Linked DNA regions of Elephas maximus indicus. Each later gene encodes a partner of the first gene's protein in a complex. Links are inferred from orthologs where the notes say so. Each region holds a gene or a part of one and is shown on either strand. Other genes may lie near its edges.

Evidence for each region.
Region 2: MED20 (region 1) and MED31 share a complex: the UniProt entries of both Homo sapiens proteins name them as parts of the mediator complex. The link is inferred for Elephas maximus indicus from reciprocal best matches to the Homo sapiens genes MED20 and MED31.
Region 3: MED20 (region 1) and MED18 share a complex: the UniProt entries of both Homo sapiens proteins name them as parts of the mediator complex. The link is inferred for Elephas maximus indicus from reciprocal best matches to the Homo sapiens genes MED20 and MED18.

What each region holds. Positions count from the first base shown.
Region 1 is NC_064819.1:106,349,732-106,353,479, reverse strand, and holds the start of MED20 (mediator of RNA polymerase II transcription subunit 20), read left to right. Parts: upstream 1-1,565; 5' UTR 1,566-1,688; coding exon 1,689-1,702; intron 1,703-3,748. Other genes in the region: BYSL (bystin), read right to left, coding at 898-1,165. UniProt on the Homo sapiens protein: Component of the Mediator complex, a coactivator involved in the regulated transcription of nearly all RNA polymerase II-dependent genes.
Region 2 is NC_064837.1:16,396,814-16,400,561, reverse strand, and holds the start of MED31 (mediator of RNA polymerase II transcription subunit 31), read left to right. Parts: upstream 1-844; 5' UTR 845-928; coding exon 929-956; intron 957-1,818; coding exon 1,819-1,896; intron 1,897-2,200; coding exon 2,201-2,297; intron 2,298-3,748. Other genes in the region: C19H17orf100 (uncharacterized protein C17orf100 homolog), read right to left, coding at 46-423. UniProt on the Homo sapiens protein: Component of the Mediator complex, a coactivator involved in the regulated transcription of nearly all RNA polymerase II-dependent genes.
Region 3 is NC_064821.1:68,790,299-68,794,046, forward strand, and holds the start of MED18 (mediator of RNA polymerase II transcription subunit 18), read left to right. Parts: upstream 1-1,546; 5' UTR 1,547-1,652; exon of another isoform or gene 1,653-1,930; intron 1,931-2,469; 5' UTR 2,470-2,543; coding exon 2,544-2,616; intron 2,617-3,748. UniProt on the Homo sapiens protein: Component of the Mediator complex, a coactivator involved in the regulated transcription of nearly all RNA polymerase II-dependent genes.

The DNA of each region.
Region 1 (3,748 bases):
TGGAAACGCTATGGGGCAGTTCTGCTCTGTCTTACAGGGTCGCTGTGAGTCGGAATCTACTCCACAGCAACAGGTTTATCAGGCCTCCAGTTGGAGATGCCAAGTAGGATATAATATTGAATCTGGGTTCCACTGAAGAGATCTGGGCTGGAATGTAAGATTGGGAGTAGTCAGCAAACAGATGGTGTTCAAACCATGAAGCTTGATGACATCACCAGAGAAGTATGTGGGTTTAACAGAAGTCCAAGGACTGAGCCCTTCAATAATTAGAGGTTGGGAATAACAGAGGAGCCAGCAAAAAAGACTGAGAGGTGAAGTAGCAGTAAAACAGAAGTGTGATGTCTTAGGCATAGCTAACCCTCAGTCATTTTACCAGTCTCAGCTAATAGGTTAATTTGGAAAGCCCTTCCTGACACCCAAGACTATGCTATTCCTTACTGGAGAAACTGTAGTTTCTTTATTATGGAATGTATTATTCTAGTTGTCTATTTAATTGTCTCTTTTCTAGACTGTTGGGTCCTGAAGTGAGACAGTGTCTACCTTGTTCATTTCTGAATCCAAACTCCTAGCACAGTGCCAGGCACGTAGTAAGCACCCCATACATATTTATGGAACAAAAAGATCATTGCTTAGGAGAACCTGGTCTAACTTTGGGGATGCCGGGGAGTAAGAGCTTAAAACTAGGAGTGGGCGTGGTGGGGCTCTGACTACTCTAAATTCGCTCCACGACTCGGCTCCTACTCCAATACCTTTGTAAGAGTGTAATATGGACTCCCTTCTTTAATTCCCAGTTATTCCTTTGCAAGTCACCTCTAAGTCGTCCATCCTCAACAAAGCTGTGTTCGTCGCACACTCTGCCCCCCACCCCCGCTCGCCCACCCGCCCGCCACCGCTCACCCAGCCGCGTGGTGCGCTCCCTCGGCGCCTTGGGCCTGTCTCCAGTCCCATGTTCAGTCTCCAGCTCCTCCTGCTGCTGCCGCGCTTGTTGCAAAATCCGTCGGGTCAGCCGGGGGCCCACATATTCTTCCTCTTCTTCTCTGGTCCTGCGGCCCCTCCGTTTTTCCCGGGCCCCCGCCCGCACTGCGTCCGCAGTCAGGATCTGCTCCGCCAGGGGCGCGTGTTTTTCCCGATCCCCAGCCCCGCGTGCCGCCTTAAATTTTGGCATTTTCCTCAAAAAAGTTACCGGGAAGATTTACACGTGGGTACCGAGGAGAGAAGCCCAGCGCGCTTGCGCAGTGAACTCTCAGTTCCCAAGAGGCAGCGCAAAGAACAGCGCGACCCCCAGCGTTCGGAGGCCAGAAGTGCCATCAGCTTCTCCCCCCCTCCTAAGAGAGCTCGTGAGCCTTGGAGCTAGATACTCGAATACCTTCATTGCTGGTTCCTCTATGGGGTGGCAGTCCGAGCCATGCTTTCGTAGCTTCATGGACCCAGGCCCTGGATGCCCAGCCAAATCTCAGTTTCCGAAGCTGCAAACCTAGGGGCGGGAACTGAGCGGATGACGTTGCTGGAGGCGTCACCCAGGGGTTGCCCAGGCAGGTCTCTTTCCTCGTGGCGCGTCGACTAGGCGCACTGTTTTTACGTAACTTCCGGGGCGTTTCCCTCGCTCGAAGCTTTCCTTAGTGGGTTTCACTTCATCGAGAGTGCTGAGTTTCAACTGTTTGAAGCTGCAACCCTCTTGGCCGGACACCATGGGAGTGACTTGGTAAGACTGCAGGACCGCTCGGGATTTTGTGGGGCGAGACTGGGGGTCGTGAAGGACCTTCGGAGCCTCGAACAGACCTGGGAGGAACTACCAGGGTCCGCCGTCCCCCAGGGAGCTTAGCAAGATGTCTCCGTGTTGTGGGAATGAGAGGCACACTGTGAGGGCTGCGGGTTCTCCGGGCCTGTTTCCTCGAAAATGAGCCCCTGGAAGGCGGCAGGTAAAAGGTTTTATCCCAGAAACCCATTAATGTTTGTATCTCCCTTTTTTCTTTCTGCCTGTGAGGCCATATTACTGCTAGTAATAGGACTTCAGCTTCGGAAGTAGCATCTCCGGCCTGGCACCTATCAGCAGGCAACGCTGGAGGGAGTGGAGGGTAGGCAAGGAGAAGACAGTGTTTCTTTTAGGTTTTTGCCTGATCCTCCCTACAGCCACAAAGTGCAGTGAGACCAGTTTGTGTTTAGTTTCATTTTCGCCGTTTTAATACCTCGGGTCAAGAGTAAAAACAAAGCCACTGAGAATTAGAAGATGGGCTTCTAGTTGCTTTACCTCTTCAGGACGTGTTTCCTACTATGTTGGCTTCCATGGTTGGTGTAGTTTCTATCGGCCTTTTATTTCTAACATGTTGTAAGTCTCAGTTGGAAGAGGGAAAGGTGGGCCTAATGCTCTCAGAGGCATTATTTCCAAAAGGCTTAGTTTCAGGACGTTTTAATGTCATTCCATTCAAAGACATTAAAACATTTTTCCAGTCAGAGGGGCTGGAGCCCAGAATATCTGAAGTCAGTGGCTGTAGGCTTCTCATATAAAAGTGTGTAGGAGCATTTTTTTCTCCTGGTAGCCCAGGCTCTTGAAAGCTTGCAAGTGATTATGCCCATGTTTCCCACAGTTGATATATGATTCTCTTCTGAGTCCTGTAGTGTAAGAGGGATGGGAATGAAAAGTTTGCAACATGGAGGCTTGGGACCCTGGAAACCCCTGACACTTTGTCTGTTGGGACCCTTACCTTTTTTTTTTTTTTTTAAGAATCCTAGGACTTTTGTTTCTCATAGCTTTGGTTCAGGCATTTTCTTTCTTTTTTTTTTTTTAAATAATTTTTATTGTGCTTTAAGTGAAAGTTTACAAATCAAGTCAGTCTCTCACACAAAAACCCATATACACCTTGCTACACACTCCCAATTACTCTCCCCCTAATGAGACAGCCCACTCTCTCCCTCCACTCTCTCTTTCCATGTCCATTTCGCCAGCTTCTAACCCCCTCCACCCTCTCATCTTCCCTCCGGGCAGGAGATGCCAACATAGTCTCAGGTGTCCACCTGATCCCAGAAACTCACTCCTCACCATTTTCCAACCCATTGTCCAGTCCAATCCATGTCTGAAGAGTTGGCTTCGGGAATGGTTTCTATCCTGGGCCAACAGAAGGTCTGGGGGCCATGACCTCTGGGGTCCTTCTAGTCTCAGTCAGACCATTAAGTCTGGCCTTATGAGAATTGGGGGTCTGCATCCCACTGCTCTCCTGCTCCCTCAGGGTTTCTCTGTTGTGTTCCTGTCAGGGCAGTCATGGGTTGTAGCCGGGCACCATCTAGTTCTTCTGGACTCAGGATGATGTAGTGTCTGGTTCATGTGGCCCTTTCTGTCTCTTGGGCTCGTAATCACCTTGTGCCCTTGGTGTTCTTCATTCTCCTTTGATCCAGGTAGGTTGAGACTCATTGATGCATCTGGGATGGCCACTTGCTAACGTTTAAGACCCCAGACGCCACTCTTCAAAGTGCGATGCAGAATATTTTCTTAATAGATTTTATTATGCCAGTTGACTTAGATGTCCCCTGAAACCATGGTCCCCAAACCCATGCCCCTGCTACACTGGTCTTTGAAGCATTCAGTTTATTCAGGGAACTTCTTTGCTTTTGGTTTAGTCCCGTTGTGCTGACGTCCCCTGTATTGTGTGTTGTCTTTCCTTTCACCTAACGTAGTTCTTATCTACCATCTAATTAATGAATACTCCTCTCCCACCCTCCCTTCCTCCCCCCTCATAACCACAAAAGAATGTTT
Region 2 (3,748 bases), on another chromosome or scaffold:
CGGTGGCCAAGGGCCAGGGCCCTCTCGTGGCCTTTGGACAGCATCTCACGGGGCCGTTTTTACGTTCTGGCGGGCCGCCGGCTTGTCCCGCCGGGCCGGGCTCTCCACGTGGTGCAGAGACGTCTCCACTCGCAGAGTCGACGCCCGGATGTGGCGGGAGGACGTTTCCGTGCACTGGGAGGAGGTTTCCACGTGCTGGGAGGACACCTCGAGGACGTGAGGGAGCCGTTTCCCAAAGGGGGCAGTGGGGGGCCCCTCGCTGCGGCGCAGGGAGGTCTCCACCTGACGGGAAGACGTTCGCACCTGCCTAGAGGATGTCTCCACGCGGTGGGACGAGGTCTCCACGCGAACCGTCGAAGTCTCCTTATGGCGGACCGTCTCCACTCGGGGTGAAGAGGGCTTTCCCCTAAGGGGCGAGGCCATTCTGGGGCTGTATCGCGGGCCAACGAGGCCTCGAGGGCTCACAGCCCACGCTCGCCCTCCATCAAGCCTCTGGGTTAGGACACAGGGTCACTTGTTAAGGAATGACGTCATAATGACGTATTATGTCATTGCAGGCACAATGGTGGAAGACTACGATGCTGTCACGGGCGAGAGGGCCACAACATGATGACACGGGATACTGAGGGTCTTGTAGAGGCTGAAAGCCCCTCGCCCTCAGGACCTCCCGGAGGAAAGGCCGGGCTGCCTTGGGCTTGGCTCTCGCACCAGCCGGTAGCCCCTCGAAAGCTTGCGTGGGCGGGGCCAGGGCGGGGCCGGACGGCGATGGGCGGAGCTGAGAGCTACAGGGCGAGGCTCGGCCCACCTCCGCCCCCGGTATCCCACACTGCCCCGGGACCGGAAGGTGAAGCTGTGACTTCCGGCATCTACCCAGTGGCTGCGGTCAGTTGTTTTGTCGAGTGGTGGCGGGCAAGTGTCTTTGGTTTTTATGGCCGCTGCCGTCGCCATGGAGACAGGTGAGTAGCGCTCTGAGCCTCGAATATTCGCAAATAGTACTATTTTTGGTCCAGACACTATCTCCCGTTTCCTCTTGGCCTCCTTTCGGGCCTAACTCCCGGCAGGATTAGAGCCCGGAGAGGGAGGGGCGGTGTTTCTTGTGGCGTCTGGAAAGGCGAAGGTAGTTTTTGCCTTTTTAGAGTTTCGTTGGTTCTCAGATATTTTCTCCACGCTTGCTATGCAAACACTGACCCCGTCGGCTTCCCGGCGTGGGCGAGGCTGAGGTATCTTCAATGGCCTCCTCCTCGGTTTATTTTCTGCGTTTCAAATAAGCTTGCACAAGTTTGAAATACCGTCGACAAACTTGTGTATCATTCTGCTGTTATTGAAGTTTCTCAGGTGTGCACATACTTCATGGTCTTTCACACTCTGTGTAGTCGTCTTTTTCGGCTTGCATTTTGAGTTTTTTCCTGATTTAGCACTCACTGAACTGTACCTTAATTTAGTGACTTAACGATTGTTGTTATAGTGCATTATTAAGGTAGGGGAAGGCAAAATTGTTACAGCCTATTTCAGTGATTTAAAGTCCCAGTGGCCCCCAAGTGGTAGGTACTCTGTATATTCCTGCTTTTGTTGACTTCTCTTTGATGTTAGAAAAACTCCTAACTTATTCCTTTTAATCAGAGCTCCTCTTTTTTTTTAGACTTCAAAGGAAGGTTTACCTCCTCCCACACCCAGTTTAGGAAAATCATCATATACTCTTCTTTATACAGAAATGTACTTCAACATTAGTCAGGTTTCTTTATTACGGCCTTTCTACAAATCAGGATTACATATATAGTGACATTTATTTTGGGTGACTTTCGATGTCTTCTGTCCTAGATGATGCTGGAAATCGACTTCGGTTTCAGCTGGAGTTGGAATTTGTGCAGTGTTTAGCCAACCCAAATTACCTTAATTGTAAGTTGTTGGGCACCTCCTTAAATTGAATATGTACAAATATTAATGATTTCCGACAGAAGAGTTGCAATTCATAATAGTACCTATTTTTATACCTTTTAGCTTAATTGAGTAGAATTAGTGCTACACTTATACTGTTGTATAGATGTAATTGAGCATGCTGGAGCTTGTTTTGAATTCAGTGTGTGTTTGTGGTGGGGATGTTAAAGTAAGCAAATTCTTTGTATGTTAGGAGTCACAAACCAGTGGCCCAAGGATGGGTTTGACCTACAGATTTTTTTTTTTTTTTTTTTGTGCCTTTCAGTTCTTGCCCAAAGAGGTTACTTCAAAGACAAAGCTTTTGTTAATTATCTAAAATACTTGCTTTACTGGAAAGAGCCAGAATATGCCAAGTATCTAAAGTAAGTTTAATTTTTATAATCCTAAGTATGTGTGTGTATTTGTTATACTGATCTTTAACAGACTTCTTAGTTTCAAATTGGAAAAAATATATATTTTGATTCTCCGGACCTCTTTTAGTTGTCACCACCTTAATACAAGGCACCCTCATCTGCTCACTTGGATTACAGTGATCTAGTGACTGGTTATCACTGCTCTCACTCACCTCCCTCCCTTACCCCCAAACCAAACAAAGCAAAACAATATTTTCTTCACAGAAGCTAACTTTATCCCTTAAAAATGTAAATCAGAACACACCACTTTCTCGCTAGAATTTTTCAATGGGTTTCTATTGTATGCAGAATAAAATCCAGTCTTTGTTCATGGGCTAAGTCCGTATATGATCTGACCCCTTCTTGTACGACCTTGTCTTGTACTACTCACTCCATCTCACTCAGTTTCTGACCCTAAGGAACCCAGCTTAAAAGTGCAATGACATAGCCATAGGCTGAAAATTAAAGAACACAGAAAGGTGTACTTGCAGGGAAGGAGTTTCTGAGGTGCCCTAGACAAGATGTTGTTGTTAGGTGCTGTTGAGTTGGTTCTGACTCATAGCCACCCTGTGTACAACAGAACGAAACACTGCCCAGTCCTGTGACATCCTCACAATTGCTGTTATATTTGAGCCCATTGTTGCAGCCTCTGTGTCAGCTCATCTCGTTGAGGGTCTTCCTCTTTTTCGCTGACCCTGTACTTGACCAAGCTTGATGTCCTTCTCCAGATTTGTCCCTCCTGACAACATGTCCAAGGTACATGAGGTGAAATCTCGCCATCCTCACTTCTAAGGAGCATTCTGGCTATGCTTCTCCCAAGACAGATACGTTCGTTCTTCTAGCAGTCAGTGGTATAGTCAGTATTCTTTGCCAACGCCATAATTCAAAGGCATCAATTCTTTTTCAGTCTTCCATATTCAATGTCCAGCTTTTGCGTGCATATGAGGCAATTGAAAATACCATGATTTGGGTCAGGCACACCTCAGTCCTCAAAGTGACATCTGCTTTTTAACTCTTAAAAGAAGTTTTTTTGCAGCAGATTTGCCCAATGCAATATACATCATTTGATTTCTTGACTGTTGCTTCCATGGGTGTTGATGGTGGATCCAAGTAAAATTAAATCCTTGACAACTTCAATATTTTCTCCACTTACCATGACGTTGGAGTCCTGGTGGCATGGTGGTTAAGAGGCTACAGCTGCTAACCAAAGGGTCGGCAGTTTGAATCCATCAGCTGCTCCTTGGAAACCCTATGGGGCAGTTCTAATCTGTCTTAAAGGGTGGGTGTGCGTTAGAGTTGACTTGACAACAGCAGGTTTGGTACCATGATGTTGCTTATTGGTCCAGTTGTGAGGATTTTTGTTTCCTTTATGTTGAGGTAGACAAGGTAACCTTGCCTAAGTCTTACAGCTGCTGTCTTTT
Region 3 (3,748 bases), on another chromosome or scaffold:
TCTATCTATATGACAATTCTACTTAACTCAATGTTCCTTTGTAACTAATGTTCCCATTGCCTGGAATTCCCTTTCATCCCTTCTTTATGTTGCTAACTCCTATAAATTCTTCTAGTTACTTTGAGCATTAATTGCCTCTTCCAGGAAGACTTCCCTGATGCCCCCAAGATAAACCAAGTGCCCTGCTTGCTTCCACAGGAGTTTTGGGGTGCAGAGGTTAAGCACTATGCGGCTAACTGAAAGGTCAATAGCTCAATCCCACCAGCTGATACAGGGGAGATGTGGCAGTCTGCTCTCATAAAGATGACAGCCTTGGAAACTGTATGGGGCAGTTCTACTCTCCTACAGGGTCACTATGAGTCGCAATTGACTCAATGACAATGGCTTTTCTACTTGCTTCCAGAGCAACTGAACTTTTCATATCTCATTACCCTATTGCATGGAATCACACAGGACTGCCTCCTTAGTTCACCTAATTCCTAAAACTTGCCTACGAATTCTTTTGAGGGCAGAGGTGGAGTCAACAGGTATCGAGTATTTTAACACACTAGCATTTTCAAAAAATGTCCAATGAAAAAATGAGTAAATGGGCAGGTACTGTATATAGGTTAGAACAGGAGAACTAGAGCTAGAAGTGGCAGTATAGTGTAGTAATTTAAAGGGTGGGGTCTAAAGTCAGCTGCTTAGGTTTGTATCTCAGCCTCTCCACCCACTTGTAAGTTACAGAACATCCAGTTGCTCGAGTTTCCCCACCTGTAAAATGACAGTAATAATAATAATAATAGAATTTGGTTCATAGGGTTGCTGTCAGGATCAAATTTTAAATTTTGATATTTTGTTCATTATGGGTTTTTCTAATTTTGTAAAATATTTCATTAAAATATCATTTATCTTCATTACTTTTTGGGGGGCACCTTCTTAAATGTTGTGCTCTAGGTGAGGGCCTCCTTGTCTCACCCAACTCCCAGCTCTGCCTGCACCTTAGTGCTTCACACACAAGCGGTGTTCAATAAATATTTTTAACTTTTATCTGTTTCCCTATATTTTTAAACTTGGGTATACTTAAAGTGAACTAATATTGAGTGTATTACTCAGCTCCCTAATTGTGCAGAACATTATGCTAAACAGTATAGGGCGCCTTCTCCTTTCACCCTCAGGTACACAACAGAGGCCTCTGTTTTATAACTTTCTCCCCTTCCACTCTCCTCTTTTCCCACTAAGAAGCGCTGTTAGGAGTTCAAAGTTTAGGCATAATCTTCAGTCCTACCAGTTCCAAGAGATTTCCTATACGAAAACGTCTTCAGGTCGTCAAACTTTAAAAAAAAAAAAAAAAATTCCTGCAGGACGGACTACGACGTCAACGCTCCTGGTAGTCCCCAAGAAAACGCACCGAAGGAGGCCACCATCTTCCAAACAGTAGCACTGCATCCGCGCTTGCTCTTCTGCTTGCCGGGCCGCGAAGAGGACGATTTCGTGACTTCTCGGCACCCGTACGTGGCGGAGCGGTAGTGTCAAGGTTTACGCGACTCCCTCTGTACTGCCGGAAGTAGGGAGAGGGGGCGATAATATGGTTGCGCGCGCCAGTGGACGTTCCGGGTTTGGGTAACCTGAGGGCTGGAGTGTAATTGTCGCTAAAGTTTAAAGGCTCCGAGGTGCGCGGGTGGATATAATTCCTGGCTTTGCTAGAAGAAGCATAGTGCGCGCTGAGGTGCGTTTCTAGTGTAAGTGTGCACGTATCCTGGAAGCCGGTAAAGGAGCCTTGGTGGCGCCGTGGTTAAAGCTCTCTGCTGCTCCCGGAAAGGTCGGCAGTTGGAACACCCCAACCGCTCGGCGGGAGAAAGACGTGGCAGTCTGCAGCAGTGTGCTTCCGTAAAGATTTGCGGTCTTGGAAACCCCATGAAGCAGTTCTATTCTGTCATATAGAGTCGCTGTGAGTAGGAATACACTCCACGCAGTGGGTTTGGTTTTATTTTGTCATCTTCAAAGAATTTCACTCTTTTTTCCGTCCCGCTTTAAAAGATGATTTCAGTATTCAGAGAGGCAGAGCCTAGGTTCTAGCCTGGTCCGGGCTCCGCCACTGACTTGCTGCGTGTCTTTATAGACAGGGTCCCATAAATCGTCTTTCAGTTCTTCAGAATTTTATTGCATGCCCATCATGTCGTTTGCGCTACAAAGTCTTGGGAGTTAGATATTATGGTCCCATTTAATAAGGAAGACACTGAGTCCCAGAGTGAGGAGTTCCACGGTTTCCTCTAACTTCCAGCTAACTTTTTGGAGAGTTGAGAATTTGACACTAGAACGTTATGCTGTAACTCCATGACCAGATCTTTTTTGTATATTTCTGTATCCGTGCCTGGCCATGTAACAGTTACTCAGAAAGTTTTGAATGAATCTTTTGATGTCCAGGCCAGTGACTCAAGCCAGTCTCTCCACTTCTCTGATGTTTAAACAAGTCTAACTCTTCTCCAGGTGTATCCTGTGCCTTACCTGATTGAGGGCTCTGAGTCCACTTCTGTGGTCTTCACCTTAATCAGACAGACACCATGGAGGCACCTCCAGTCACCATGATGCCTGTCACTGGGGGCACCATTAACATGATGGAGTACCTGCTTCAAGGTAAGTAAACCAGGGAACTTGGATTACCTGTCTTCCTCTTTTTTTCTTCAGCTTCCCTGGAGATGAGGAACTTATACAAAGCTGACATACACAATTTCTGACACTCAGTAGACAACAACTATTTTTTGTCCCAATATTTTATTATGGAAAATTTAAAGCAGCATCTTAGTTACCTACTGCTGTCATCAGAAGTACCACAAGTGGTAGCTTTAAGGAACAGAAATTTATTTTCTCACAGTTCTGAAGCTAAAAGTCCAAATCAGGGTCTCAGCTGTATTGATTCCTTATTTCAACCTGCCTCTTAGTTCCTGGTGTCTGTCGGTGACCCTTGACATTCCTTTGCTTGTAGCTGGTCCTCAAATGTCATTTGTCTTCTCCCTCTGTGTATCTCTGTGTCCATTCTGATCTTTTTATAAGTTAGAAGTTATTAGGTGTAAGATCCACCCTACCCTGGTATGATTTCATTAACATAAAAAAGAAACCGCCTATTTCCAAATAGGTCATGATTATAGGGACAGGTGAACTTACCAGACTGTCTCCCGCCTCAGTGCCTGTTATGGATTGAAGTGTGTCCCCCAAAAATGTGTGTCAACTTGGCTAGGCTATGATTCCCAGTATTATGTGATTGTCCATCATTTTGTCATCTGATGTGATTTTCCTATGTGTTGTAAATCCTACCTCTCTGATGTTAATGAGGCAAGATTAGAGGCAGTTATGTTAATGAGACAGGACTCAATCTACAAGATTAGGTTGTATCTTAAGTCAGTCTCTTTTGAGATATAAAAGAGAGAAGCAAGCAGAGAGGTGTGAGGACCTCATACCACCAAGAAACAAGAGTCAGGAAAATAGCACATCCTTTGGACCTGGGGTCCCTGTGCTGAGAAGCTCCTTGACTGGAGAAGATTGATGACAAGGAGCTAGCACTCTGAATTCAGTCTTCTAGCCTCCTAGACTGTGAGAGCATAAATTTCTCGTTGTTAAAGCCATCCACTTGTGGCATTTATGTTACAGCAGTGGTAGATAACTAAGACAGTGCCTTTACTTGATGACCCATCCACCCTAGATACTTTTTTCATATCTCTTCAAATGACCATCTAATTTTCATCCTTTGGGTCTCAGCTCAGTTGTCACC